3 linked regions of the Coturnix japonica genome follow. The protein of the gene in region 3 interacts with the protein of the main gene of each other region in a pairwise test. Links are inferred from orthologs where the notes say so. Each region holds a gene or a part of one and is shown on either strand. Other genes may lie near its edges.

Region 1 (4,446 bases), about 38 Mb from region 3:
GAACAAAAATAGCTCCACTGCTTTCATATCTGTAGGTGGGACAGCTCACTGCATTATGTGTTCACACCTGTACTTTAGAACTGGCATTTAAACTTCTGATTTCTCTGTAAAACACAGTATGGTGGATTTTCTAATTTATACACTATTTCTGTGCTTGGTTTATATCCTGAAAAAAAATCAAGCAGGCTTTCCCTCGTCCATAAGCTTCTACATGTTGTCCATTACCTATTTTTGCCTTTACTAAGCTTCACAGTGAAGTGAAATCAACATCATTCTTCTCCCGTTCCTATGCTAACCCGCGCTCATCCCTCCCGGATGAATCCCATGGATTTCCCGGCGCAGCCTGAACGTAGCACACAGTTCTGAGGATGCCCAGGTTCATACTCAGCAAATCCCACTCATCACTGGTGACCCCGTGGATCTACTAGGGCCGCATGAAGGGATGAACGCAGAGCTGTGGTCGTCCCATAGAGAAACTATGAGAAATAACTCTCAGCTTCATAATGTTAGTACATAGTACTACATAGCCTTCTCCGCCCCCTCCTCATCCTCCCACCCCATTTTTATTAACAGTGACCCCTCTCTCAAGCAGCGATGACAGCAGGTGGAGAAGAGGAAGCGCTGCCAACTGCCTCCCAGCATTAAGAAGAGCTCTCAGGGCTTTCGCCCCGAGAATTTGCTCATGTAAATAACGCGCCACATCGCTGCTCGGCACGCCGGGTATATTTTAAGCAGGGCCACACGTGATAGGGGTGTACGAGCGCTCTGTGCATGCCGACGTGGATACGCCGCTGTGCGCGCTTTAAAGACCCGCTGGCGGCGCGGGGTGCCCAGGCCTGACGGCACTGCAGCCCGTGCAGAGATGACCGGCTGCTCCCATATCAAGGGAACCTCTCTCACAAACAGCCATTTCTATCAGCTGCCCGTGGGCCGCGTCCCGTACACGAGTGGGAATCCATTACAATGGAAGTTTCATAAAAGCGAGCGAAATTACAAATGAACGACGCTGAGAAACACCCCCCGGGGGGCTCTTGGAGACCCCGCTGTGCCCCTGCCGCCGCCCGCCCCGCGCTGCCCCGCGGGCCCCGCTCCGCGCCGCCGTGCCGCCTCCTCGCGTTAATCCGCGGCACAATGCCGCGGGCAATAAGCGGCCCTTCCTGCTGCCGGCTGGGGGGGTAGGGAGCAGAGAGTTTAAACTTTTTATTCCATAGAGGGGGATTAAAAAAAAAAAAAACAAAAAAAAAAACAGAAAGAAAGAAAATAAAAAGAAAGGGAAAAAAAAAGAAAACATGGCTGGGGGAGGGGAAGCACCTGGGAATGGGTCTCCCGCTCCCCCCAGGGAAAGCAGCTCCCCTCGACCGCCCTGTAGCCCGATCGCTGCTGGCCCCTGGATAAACACGCGAGCACAAAAGCAGCCCCGAGCGCCGTGTGACCGCGCACGGAGCTGCCTCCTGCGAGAACAGGCTGCGGCCGGGCCCGGAGAGGGGCGCGGGGCTCCGCACGGCGCCGGGGCCCGACGGGAGCGGGGCCGGGGCCGGGAGCGGGGCCGCGATTGTGGTGGAAGCGGCGGTAGCGCTGCCCTTTTGAATGCCTCCCGCAGCTCGGAGTGCTGGCAGGGCGCTGGGAGCGCCAGTGAATGTAGCCCCGCAGAGCCAATGAGCTGGGACCGGATGCGATATATCCTCTGGGACAACAACTGCTCTGTTCCTCCTCAGATCCACATGACGCCATTTACTGCTGCTTTTGCAGAGAGATCACCCTACCTCCTCCGGAAAGAAAAAGAGAGAGAGGGAGAGAGAGAGCGAGCAGAAAAACGCCGAGCCCCTCCAGCTCAGATCTCAAACCTTCCTCCTCCTCCACCTCCTCCAAACACACAACAACAACCACCACCACAAATCCGCTGCGCTCCCCAAACACCCCCCCCACCCCCCCGCTCGCAAACCGCAGAGCCGCCTGCAACACACTCACACACACACACACACACACACACACGCTCGCAGAGGGAGCGAGAAAGCCGAGGGAGAGAGGGAGAGGAGCGTGCGGCGAGCGGCGTTCGGCAGCGCGGCCCCCCCCCCCCCCGCCCGGCTGCTGCTGCTGTTGCTTCCTCGGATGAGTTCGCTGGAAGAAAGCTTTGCCATCGGATTTTAGATCCACTTGATTTTGTTTTCTGTGGCTTTCTCCTTCCTCTCGATCCTTTGCAACGGCAGCAAGAAAAAAAAAAAAAAAAAAAAGGGGAAAAAAAAAAAAAAGAAAGGTGACTCGGTGCTGGCGGTTCGGCCTCCTGTTCATTGAGGGAGAAAAAAAGGAAAGTGTGTGAGAAGTGAGTTCTTTGGAGGAGAACAGAAAACCCACCCAGATCCGGAGAGGTGTTCTGATTATTACTATAGCACATAGGCGCACACACGTTCTTACAGTCGAGCTGGGCAGAGGGGAGGACTGACTTTACTCCGGACTTTTTTTTTTGCAAGCCGATCGTTCTGATTCTCATTTGCAAGTTGGACGAAAGCAGAGTTTGGAAAAGAATTTTTTTTTTTTTTTTTTTTTTTTTGCTTTAGGGCTGGATTTATTTGCAAACCGCAGGAAGAAGAAAATACAACAGAGAGAGGGGTTTGGTGCAGCGCCGCGATCACGGTGAGAGCCTTTTCCTTCTTTGCAAAACAAGCTTTTCAGTAACCCCCGCAACCCCCCCCCCCCCTCTTTTCCCCCTCGTATCCCCCCCCCTCTCCTCCCTCAGCGCTGCTCCAAGAAAACTCGTGGAAATGTTTGAGGCCGATCCTTTTTCCACTCGCACAGGTTCTCCCTCTCCCCCTTTCCCCTCTCCTTCCTTTCCCAGAGAAGAGCCGGAGGTGGGATTTCGGAGCTCTTTTTCTCTCCGGGGAGGGTTTTGCGGGCTGCGCTTTATTTGCGCCTCGTCGCGGTGCTCCGGGGGGCGCGAGGCTGCGCGGGGGCGGAAGGCTGCGCGAACGTACACGCGTGCCCGGGGGGCTGCGGGGAGGCGGGGGCCGCGTATTCCCGGCTGCGGGGAGCCGGGCACGGGCGGTGCTGCCCCGGGGGAGGCGCAGGGAGGGCGCTGCGAGGCCGCCGGTACCCCCGGCCCGGGGGAGCGCCGTGATTGACGCCCGTGTGTGGTGGCGTCGGGAAGATCCGTGCCATTCGGAAGTGAGTGCACGGCTGGTGTGTAAATACATCTGTGCGGCTGCGGGTGCGTGCGTATTTCTCGTGCGGTGAAACTTAATTCGATTCATGAGACGGGGAAACTTCACTCCCAGGTTCTACTTTGCAGAGTGTGTGTGTGGAGGGGAAGAAGGACTTTTTTTGTGGGGGTTTACTGTGTAACAGGCCCCCATCCCCCCACCCCCCTCCCCGATATATATATTTATCTGCTGGTGTTCTCAGCATGTTACTTGTATGTCAGCTTGCCCAACCTTGATGTAAAGTCGCTTTTGCCCTAATCCAGAGTCTGATGGCACACTCTGCTCTTAATGTGGGTTTCAAAGCACTGTGAAAGCAGAGACGGTGACGGGGGTGTTTGCGGGGCGGTGGGGGTGGGGGTACTGCGCGGCTCCGGACACAGCACAGTAAGTCCCGGGCAGGGACCTCTTCCCCCGAGGCCCCCTCCGCGATGCGGGGATTTTCCACACGCAGCACGCAGAAGCCCCTTGAGTTTGCCACTTCCTCGGACGTGCGAAGACGAAAGTTGCCTCCCCCCCACCCCCCCGGCTCGCCCTCCTGCCAATCCCAGCCAGGAGTAGGCAGCGGTCGTGGCACTTGAGCTGTGCGAGAGTGGACTTTGGCTTCTGGAAGTGGGGAACGGTGTTATCGCCCACATGCACACACAGGAAGGCCAAGCGCTGGAAGGGTGCTGGGTCATAGGGAGAGTCGTGCTTTCTCTCAGAGCTTTCGGGCATGGCTGCAAATAAAGGTGCTGGAGGTTTACATCCTGTCCCGTTAGGGTCTGTCAGGGGGAATAAGGAAACATGGCCCGGCTCGGGTTGACAGTGCCTCCTGGGCAGGGGCGGGAGGCTCAAGTTCGGGCAGTTCTCTTCTCTGGCGGCTGAATGAGCGCTCAGGGCAAGGCGAGGGGGGGCAATTTGCCTCCTGCCCGGCTGTCCCGGAGGTTCTGTCTCCAAGCGTCTGCGGGGCGCCGCTCACTGCCCGGCCGGGAAAGGCTTCCTGAGCATCTCCCGGGGGAGGGCAGGGGGGAAGAGTTAAAAGGAAACATGGGTTTGACTTTCCTGATAAGGCGACTGCGGCCGCCCCCTCCCACCTCCCGGCCCGGGGATGTCTCCTGTTAATCTCCAGGTTGTCTGCACTCGCGGGGCCGCCGCCTGAAGCCACGGGGCTCCGCGTCCCACCTGCTGCGCTCCCGCTGCGCGGCCGGATGTAGCCGCGCCGGGGGACGTCCGGCGTCCGAGGGGTTCTTGCACCGCGCTCGTCCCCAGCTCT
Region 2 (3,646 bases), about 36 Mb from region 3:
TTGTGAATTTTGCCCAAAGGTCAGGCCAGGCATGGAGAGGCAGGTCTGTTAGTGGATTTGGAATAAGAAACAGGTTGAAAGACTGGACAAATTAAAAGCGTCTGTAAATACATTAAAGTATTTGGCTTAACTCTACAGCAGTGAATGCCAAATCACTTAGGCTCTTCATCTACATTTTTCAAGAGAAATAAGCAGAGGCTCTATAAGTGCTTCTTGCTGATATGCTGGCCAGTGAGAAAGTAAAACATCACCCAAGCCAACAAGGGCCAAGTAAGATATCACTTATTTGCAAACAGGGGAGATTATTCAAAATCTAACTTCCCTGCAAAGGCTGTTAGGCCTGTGTTAATGTCTCCTATCATCACTTTCCTGGCAGTGGAACAAGATGAGCAAAGACAACTACTGCACTTGTTGTTTTTTTCTCCTCCATGAATATTTCAGTGAGATGCAGTAATTATTTATAATAGGGAAGTACCCTATTGGTATTAATTAGTGGAGGTCAGGCAGGACACGAGGGTGTTTCTAGAGTTCAACAAGGACAAGGACCTCTAGAGACCAGATCCCAGATAAGCTGAAATGGGAAGTGGATTTGAGCAGCGGTACCGCAAAAAGGACTCAGAGTTTTCCAACTTATGTCATAGTCAGGATGACAGCTTTGCCTGCTCTTTCTAACAGAGAAATGCCCACTCACGGGCGAGTACTGTCTGTACCAGACTTGCGACCAGCTTTCAAACAGGTCCAATATGCTGCTGTGCTCAGATGAAGTTGGCCTTTCTGCACATCCAGAAGGACGCATACATCAGCTCCTGCAGTACAGGAAGTTCTTGCCAGAGCAAACACGTGGCTGTCTAACAGCCATCTGGGAGACATGGAAGCTGTCAAAGGCACAGTCATTTGGGCATGTTTTCTTCTGTAAAACTCCTAAAAGTGAACCGTGTGGCAAACCAGATTGATTTAAATGAACAGAACTGCAGTGGCTGCTCATGCTGTAGAGTTAGCGCTTCTTTGTTTAGGTCTGTGTTTGCATTTTTATTGCATGACACGGCAGTTTAAATGCACATGTAATACTTTATTTTTAGTAATGAAGAAAGCTTATTACTAAAAGTACTGTTTTATCTATATGGTGTAGGAACTACAAGTGCACGTGGACCAAATTACAGAAATGGCAGCGGTAATGAGGAAAGCCATTGAAATTGATGACAAGCATGGCTGTAAAGAGCAGGAACGTATCATTCAGCTTGAAGTAAGTATGAGATCTTTTTTTGAGATTTGTGCCAGTGATGGCACAAATAGGGATCTGTCTTCCTCTACCCTCCCAGTGAGAAATGCTCAGAACTGACTGTGAGACAAGAAGTTGCGATTACACACAGATCAGAGTCTGGCTGTCAGAACAGGGAAACTCTCTGCCACTTATTTGGGGAGTTGGGGGAGCAGGTTACCGCTACCCAAATACGTTCACACAAGCTTTAAATTGTGCTCCACGTCTCTAAACAAAATATCTTGTTCTGACCCTACAGTTCTACCTTTCTTTTACAGTCTTTCAGTACTTTAGGGTTTAGGAATAGCCAGCTTCCCGTGCATCTGCTGCCAGTACTCAAAGCCAGCATTAAGATAGCTGCGTGCTATCTTCATGGAGCTGGACTGTTTCAGGTAATTAGTTTACTTAGGAGAATTAGTTTGATGTTGTATCAAGGAGCTGAGGGGGCTGTAGCTGACATGAGATTGGTCTCTGCTGCGGTGCCATCTTTCCAGAACTCGGGAGCAAATCATGTTCTGTATTCTTGCAGTAGATTTGCTGAAATTGCCACAAATCCTGAGATGCTGATTTAGACTTTTGCTTTAGTCACCTGCTTGGTTTTCCAGTCTCCCTCGGTATTAAATCATTTCCTTTGACAAAGGTTTTCCCAGTGCGCTACCAATTTGGCTGCTTTTTTATAAGACGTTGTGGAACCAAGTCACACGTTATTATCGAGTGAGGAACTGGGTGCAATGTTTAATTATTTCCAATGCTGCTACCAACCCTAACAACAGTTTTTAAAGTCAGTAAACTCTTCAGTAAAGGGATCCTTTCTGTTTGTAACTCTGTGGTAATCCGGCACGTAAAACAAAAGCCGCTTTGTGCACTTACCTTCTGGTACAGTTCGTTGTGTGTAAAATGCCTTTGGTTCTGTTGTTCCCAGTGCTTCAGTTATTTCTAGAACTCAGCCCTTAGCAAGGGTGTTAACCTTATCACAGTTACTGAGTTACTGTCTCTTTCTTGAGTTACTGGATCATTCACTGGTACTGCTAGTTTGTTGCATGTCTTTTGTAAGTGTGTTTGTAGTAAAGGGAAGGAGAGATCCTTCATGTAGTTATCTGACTTTCTGGAGTTCTATTAAATGCCTTTTTTTATCCCTCGGTTATAGCAAGAAAACAAAGGCTTGAGAGAAATTCTTCAGATAACCAGAGAATCATTCCTGAACCTTAAGAAAGAAGATGCATCAGAGAGTACATCCCTTTCAGGGTTAGTAACAAGCAGTGATTTGAGCCTGAGGAAGAGCTGAAGACTGTGGAAGCCAACCAGCTTTAATTGCACACTTTACAAACGGAATATCAGGGGTCACTTGTCAAGCACTTGTTACTGAATAGGGCACCAGCAGGCTTATGCATCTTGAACTTTGGTTTAGTGGCTTTTATACCGTGTAAAATAAACTCCAGTCGGTACTCTCTGAATACCGTAGTGACAGATTAATTGCCATAGGTCTAACTTCAGTAGGAAATGGGTTAGTGCACTTATGGAATTGGGAATTATTTTTATATGAAGTCATTTTACAAATAAAATACATAATTTCACTTAATTTATATAATTTATTGCTCGGACAAAACTTCAGTGCACCTATTATACAATAAATGCAAGATTTAAAGTAGTCTGATATCTGGCTAAAAGATAGCGACTGACTACGCTTTGTGCATGCTCCATAGTTCATTTGTCCTTTTAGTTACTAAGGTTTGTGAAATTCAGCATTTAGCAACGAGCCTCTTTAATGGAAAGAGCCAGCAGAAAGCCGACGGGCTCCTGTTAGCCGCAGGCTGCCCTGTTGCAATGTAAGGCCAGTTGCTCAAACATAAGCAATACTTTTGCAGTTGTTTTTACCTTATGAGAGAAAATGAAGCTCAGTTCTCTGTGGGTGGCAGGCTGCCGTAGTCTCATCTGTTTCTTTGGGGATTGGCTGCCCAAAGCTAGAAACAGCAATTTGAAAGCACTCAGACCGTACTGAGGGAAAGATAATTGGGAGAAAGAGGTGAGAAATTCTATGGCAAAGTTAGCAGACTGTGCACCTGGAACTATTATTTTCTTTCTTTAAGTACTATTTAGTCAAGGAGTTTTGTGTATTTTCACTGGGAGCTCTCAATACATCACACTGACAAGACTGCTCACTTTTATTAGTGAAAAAGCTGCAGAGGTGAAAATGAATTAGCGCTTCTAGAACAAGAAGTAGCTTGCACGGTTTGCCTGTACACCAGAAGTGCTTCGTAAGATGTGTTTGCCATGAAAGAGGCGCCGCAATGATTGACAGCTGGCTTTTGTCAGACCGCTTCTGCTCATTGTTCAGAGCGCTAAGGCTGCTGCTAAGCGAGTTACCACATTTTGTTCAGCGTGTTACTA
Region 3 (3,646 bases):
TCAAGAACTCAGTATTTGCTCACAAAGACTCTGTCACGTAAAGGATGTCAATGGCATTTTGAAAACTCTAGCTATTCTCCTCTCTGGTGACCAGCGATAGAACCTGTGGGAACTGAAACAGGGTTGGAGGTTGGGAAAAGGTTCTTCACCAGAGGTTGGTGGGCATGGAATGGGCTGCTCTGGGCAGTGGTCACAGACCCAAGAAGCTGGAATTCAAGAAGTGTCTGCACAATGCTCTCAGACACAGGATTTGATTTTTGGGTGGTCTTGTGTGAAGCCAGGAGTTTACTCCATGATTGTTGTGTGTCCCTTCCAACTCCGGAGATCCTATGATTCTGTGAAAAGGAAATATGAACCAAATTTGATCCCAAAGAACGTCAGTTGAATAAAAGGGAGAAAATGGAGATATTGTATGTTATCTTGGAATTCATTTGTGGCTTGGGTCTGGCTTTCTTCTGGGCTATGGGGAATCCTCGGTCCAGATTTTCAAACCCCAGATGTTTTGTTTAGGTTGTATGTGTGGCAACTTGAATCTAGCACCTGAATCTGAGCTTCTCATTAATTATACTATCAATAGAGCAAATCCTGTTCTTACAGCATGTGGAGGGAGACCTAAACCAACCCTAAGGAAACCCATTTAATCACTAGGGGTGGTAAGCAAACATCTCCAAAACACATTCTATGGATATTCCGTGGAAAGAGCAGATTACCAGTCTGCAAGGAATTAAAGACATGAAGCAGAGCAGACTGTCTGGAGGGCTTCAAGAACATTAATATGTGCCAGGAATAACCTTGTCATTATAGGTTAGGTTATTACAGGTATACATTGTGCTGAAAAATAGAATCCATTGTCACAGCATGTCCATTTTTCTTTATTGTATTAAAGTCATCGAAAACAATTTTAGTGTTTTCTGCTATTCTGATGAATCCAGTTTGTTTTCATTTGGTTTGTGGGTTGTTTTTTGTTTGTTTTTTTTTTCTAGGCAAAAAGCCTTGGTTGCTACTGGTCAAAAGTCAGTAGAAGATGCTGCAAAATGGTAAGCACCTGTGATTTCTGAGGAGTGCTTTCACATCAAAACTGATTAAAAACACTTGTTCACATACTGATTCTGTTACTCAGAATGAAGTTAGCTGCTTTTGAAGACGTAGCATATGAGGTTTGTTTGTTTGTTTGTTTTTCATTTTAGTTCATCAGAGAAAGAAATAATTGTATTTACACTAATTCTGGGAAGCAAGGTTATTTGCAGAGGGTCTGGGGTAAATCAAGAGTTAGGGAGCAAAGAGACTCATGGGCAGAAGCAACTACTTTAAACACAGTGATGTCTCACAGGACTGGGGGACTGACAGCTCTGGGCAGACATCTGTCCCCAGTTTTAAGCCTCTTAATTATGGGTTATTCACTGCAATAGGGCTATAGTATCTGAGTTGTGATTGTGTGCATACATGGGGCATAGCCAGACAGGCATTCAAAGCTACATCACAGTACATGTGCTCCCTGTCTCATCATGATGCTTGTGTCTCATGGTACCTCATGGTGTACACCCAAGGAAGCCAAGAAAAGAAGAGTAGGTGGCTTACATGCTTTCTCTGTGTGATGTGTTTTGTTTTCAGGTTGCATTCTCACTGCAACGATCCCTCTTTGGATGACCCAATCCCCCAGGAGTATGCTCTTTATTTGTGCCCCACTGGCCACTTGTATAACTGCCTGCAAGTGTTCTGGAAGGAGAGCAAGCGCCAGTGCGGGAAGAACAGAGCCCATGAGATTTTCCCTCACATCACACTCTGTGACTTCTTCACGGTAAGGAACAAAAAGTGATTACTGGTGGAACTGGACAGCCTGGTAATTCCAAGCCAACAGGCTATTGCTATGGTACCATTGCTATAGAGCAGCTGCACAAAATATATCATACTATCATGTATATCATACTATCATGTGTAATCATGCTGCTGAGCATAATGAAAATACAAGCATTTTGTTGCAAAATATAGAATAGTGTGGTGACCTGTAGCCATTCATCACAATTATGCAAACCAAAAAACATTAATAACGAATGCTGTGCTCTCGAGAAGTGTCGAGTTTAAAGGCCTGACCCTGGAAGAGATGCCTGAATTGTAAACCTCACCTCACACACCTCAGCTCTGTTTCAGGTAGTATATTTCTAGGAATGAATGCACACCCTCCAGTGCTATTCTATGTTCCTCAGCTGTCAGCAGTAGATGACTTGGATGCTTTCCATATAGGATGTAAGACTCACTGCCCTGCTCCCACCTCTACCTCCCAACCCAAACTCTCCTGTTTCCTGACACCCTGCATCTCCTGCGCCTGAGAGGAGCAAATAGCTCTGCTAAGGAAAAAACAAAAGCCACAGTGTGGAACTGGAGCATCATTTATGTCTGTGACTTTGGCTTTATGGCATAAATTTAGTCTTCTTCTATTTACTTCTTAAATTGTTTAACTGACACTTTTTGTGGAAGCATGGCTTTGTACAATCCTTGAATAAGCTGTAACTAAGGGACAAAAGATCCCAATTACAAAGAATCCATATTAGCCTTCCTATGTATGTTGCTCAGCTCTTAATTTTTTACCAGAGCAAAGGACTGTAGGATAACAAATTCTTACTTAGAACTGAAGAGAGAAGTCATGAACTCTGCCTCGTTTCAGTTTACTTCAGATGGTAAAATCTCATGCTTTTTCTTCCTTCACTTAATGGTAAAAGACCCCATCTCCTGAGGTAGTGTCATCACACAGCCATGTTTGTAGGTGTGTTATTTTTCTAAGGAAGTAATGCCCATCCAGTTTTCTGGTGTAACTTTACAAGACAGGCAGCCACAGTGGGTACTGATCTTACAGTGTAAAGGATGCCCTTCCTCTGTTTTTTTTTACAGTGTGAAGACCAGAAAGTGGAGTTACTGTATGACATCTTAAAGAGAATCTGCAACAGCTTTGCACAGAGATTTCCACCAACTGTTTCCTTATCATTACACTCATCCACCAGCTACCTTGGTTTCTTTGTTGGTGACAGCGATGCAAATATCCTCAAAGAGTTTGCTGTGGCCTTCTCTTCAGAAGCTTCAGCCCTGGCAGGTGGGATCAACATAAGAGGGCTGAGTGGGCTGTTGTGCAAAGGCATAGACATGATAAGGAAACCATCTCCCATGTCTCCACAGCTGTGTGGCAGATGTTTTACTGCTGACAAGCACATTTTCCTCCCACAGATTCAAAAACAATGTGGCTAGAGGAGCTTGATTTAGATTCTGAAGATGTGCTGCTTTTGTCTAGGAGGTTTTTGCTGAACTCTATGTACAAGAAAAGAGAAAGATGCTAGCAGTCTTCATAAATTTATTCTTTTTTTAGGAAATTCAGGCAAATGTTTTACCTGGCAACATCTTTTAGGCAGCAATCCCTTAAAACAATATGCGATCTTTGTTTTCTGGGCACTTATGCTGTGCTGCTCATAATGGGTTTTGAAATTACCAGAGGGTTATTCCATTTTGAGCTCTTACAGAGTCATTTCTGTGGAACTGGCTTCATTGGGTTTGTTATTATCTGGTTTTCCTCCCTTTACTTTTCTTATACTGGCCCACAAACTGAAATGTTTGTCAGTGTAACTTGAGAGGCCATCAGGATCAGGATATATAAGATAGA

The links.
Region 1: the proteins of UBASH3A (region 3) and SPRY2 interact in binary tests that used the Homo sapiens proteins (3 or more experiments, as listed by UniProt). The two-hybrid records come from large-scale screens. The link is inferred for Coturnix japonica from reciprocal best matches to the Homo sapiens genes UBASH3A and SPRY2.
Region 2: the proteins of UBASH3A (region 3) and FGFR1OP2 interact in binary tests that used the Homo sapiens proteins (3 or more experiments, as listed by UniProt). The link is inferred for Coturnix japonica from reciprocal best matches to the Homo sapiens genes UBASH3A and FGFR1OP2.

Annotation. Positions count from the first base shown.
Region 1 is NC_029516.1:136,861,006-136,865,451, forward strand, and holds the start of SPRY2 (protein sprouty homolog 2), read left to right. Parts: upstream 1-1,567; 5' UTR 1,568-2,320; intron 2,321-2,555; 5' UTR 2,556-2,631; intron 2,632-2,750; exon of another isoform or gene 2,751-2,846; intron 2,847-3,935; exon of another isoform or gene 3,936-4,446.
Region 2 is NC_029516.1:62,494,050-62,497,695, forward strand, and holds part of FGFR1OP2 (FGFR1 oncogene partner 2), read left to right. Parts: intron 1-1,129; coding exon 1,130-1,243; intron 1,244-1,536; coding exon 1,537-1,650; intron 1,651-2,405; coding exon 2,406-2,543; 3' UTR 2,544-3,646. UniProt on the Homo sapiens protein: May be involved in wound healing pathway.
Region 3 is NC_029516.1:98,576,836-98,580,481, forward strand, and holds part of UBASH3A (ubiquitin-associated and SH3 domain-containing protein A), read left to right. Parts: intron 1-983; coding exon 984-1,037; intron 1,038-1,611; coding exon 1,612-1,798; intron 1,799-2,886; coding exon 2,887-3,085; intron 3,086-3,646. UniProt on the Homo sapiens protein: Interferes with CBL-mediated down-regulation and degradation of receptor-type tyrosine kinases. Promotes accumulation of activated target receptors, such as T-cell receptors, EGFR and PDGFRB, on the cell surface.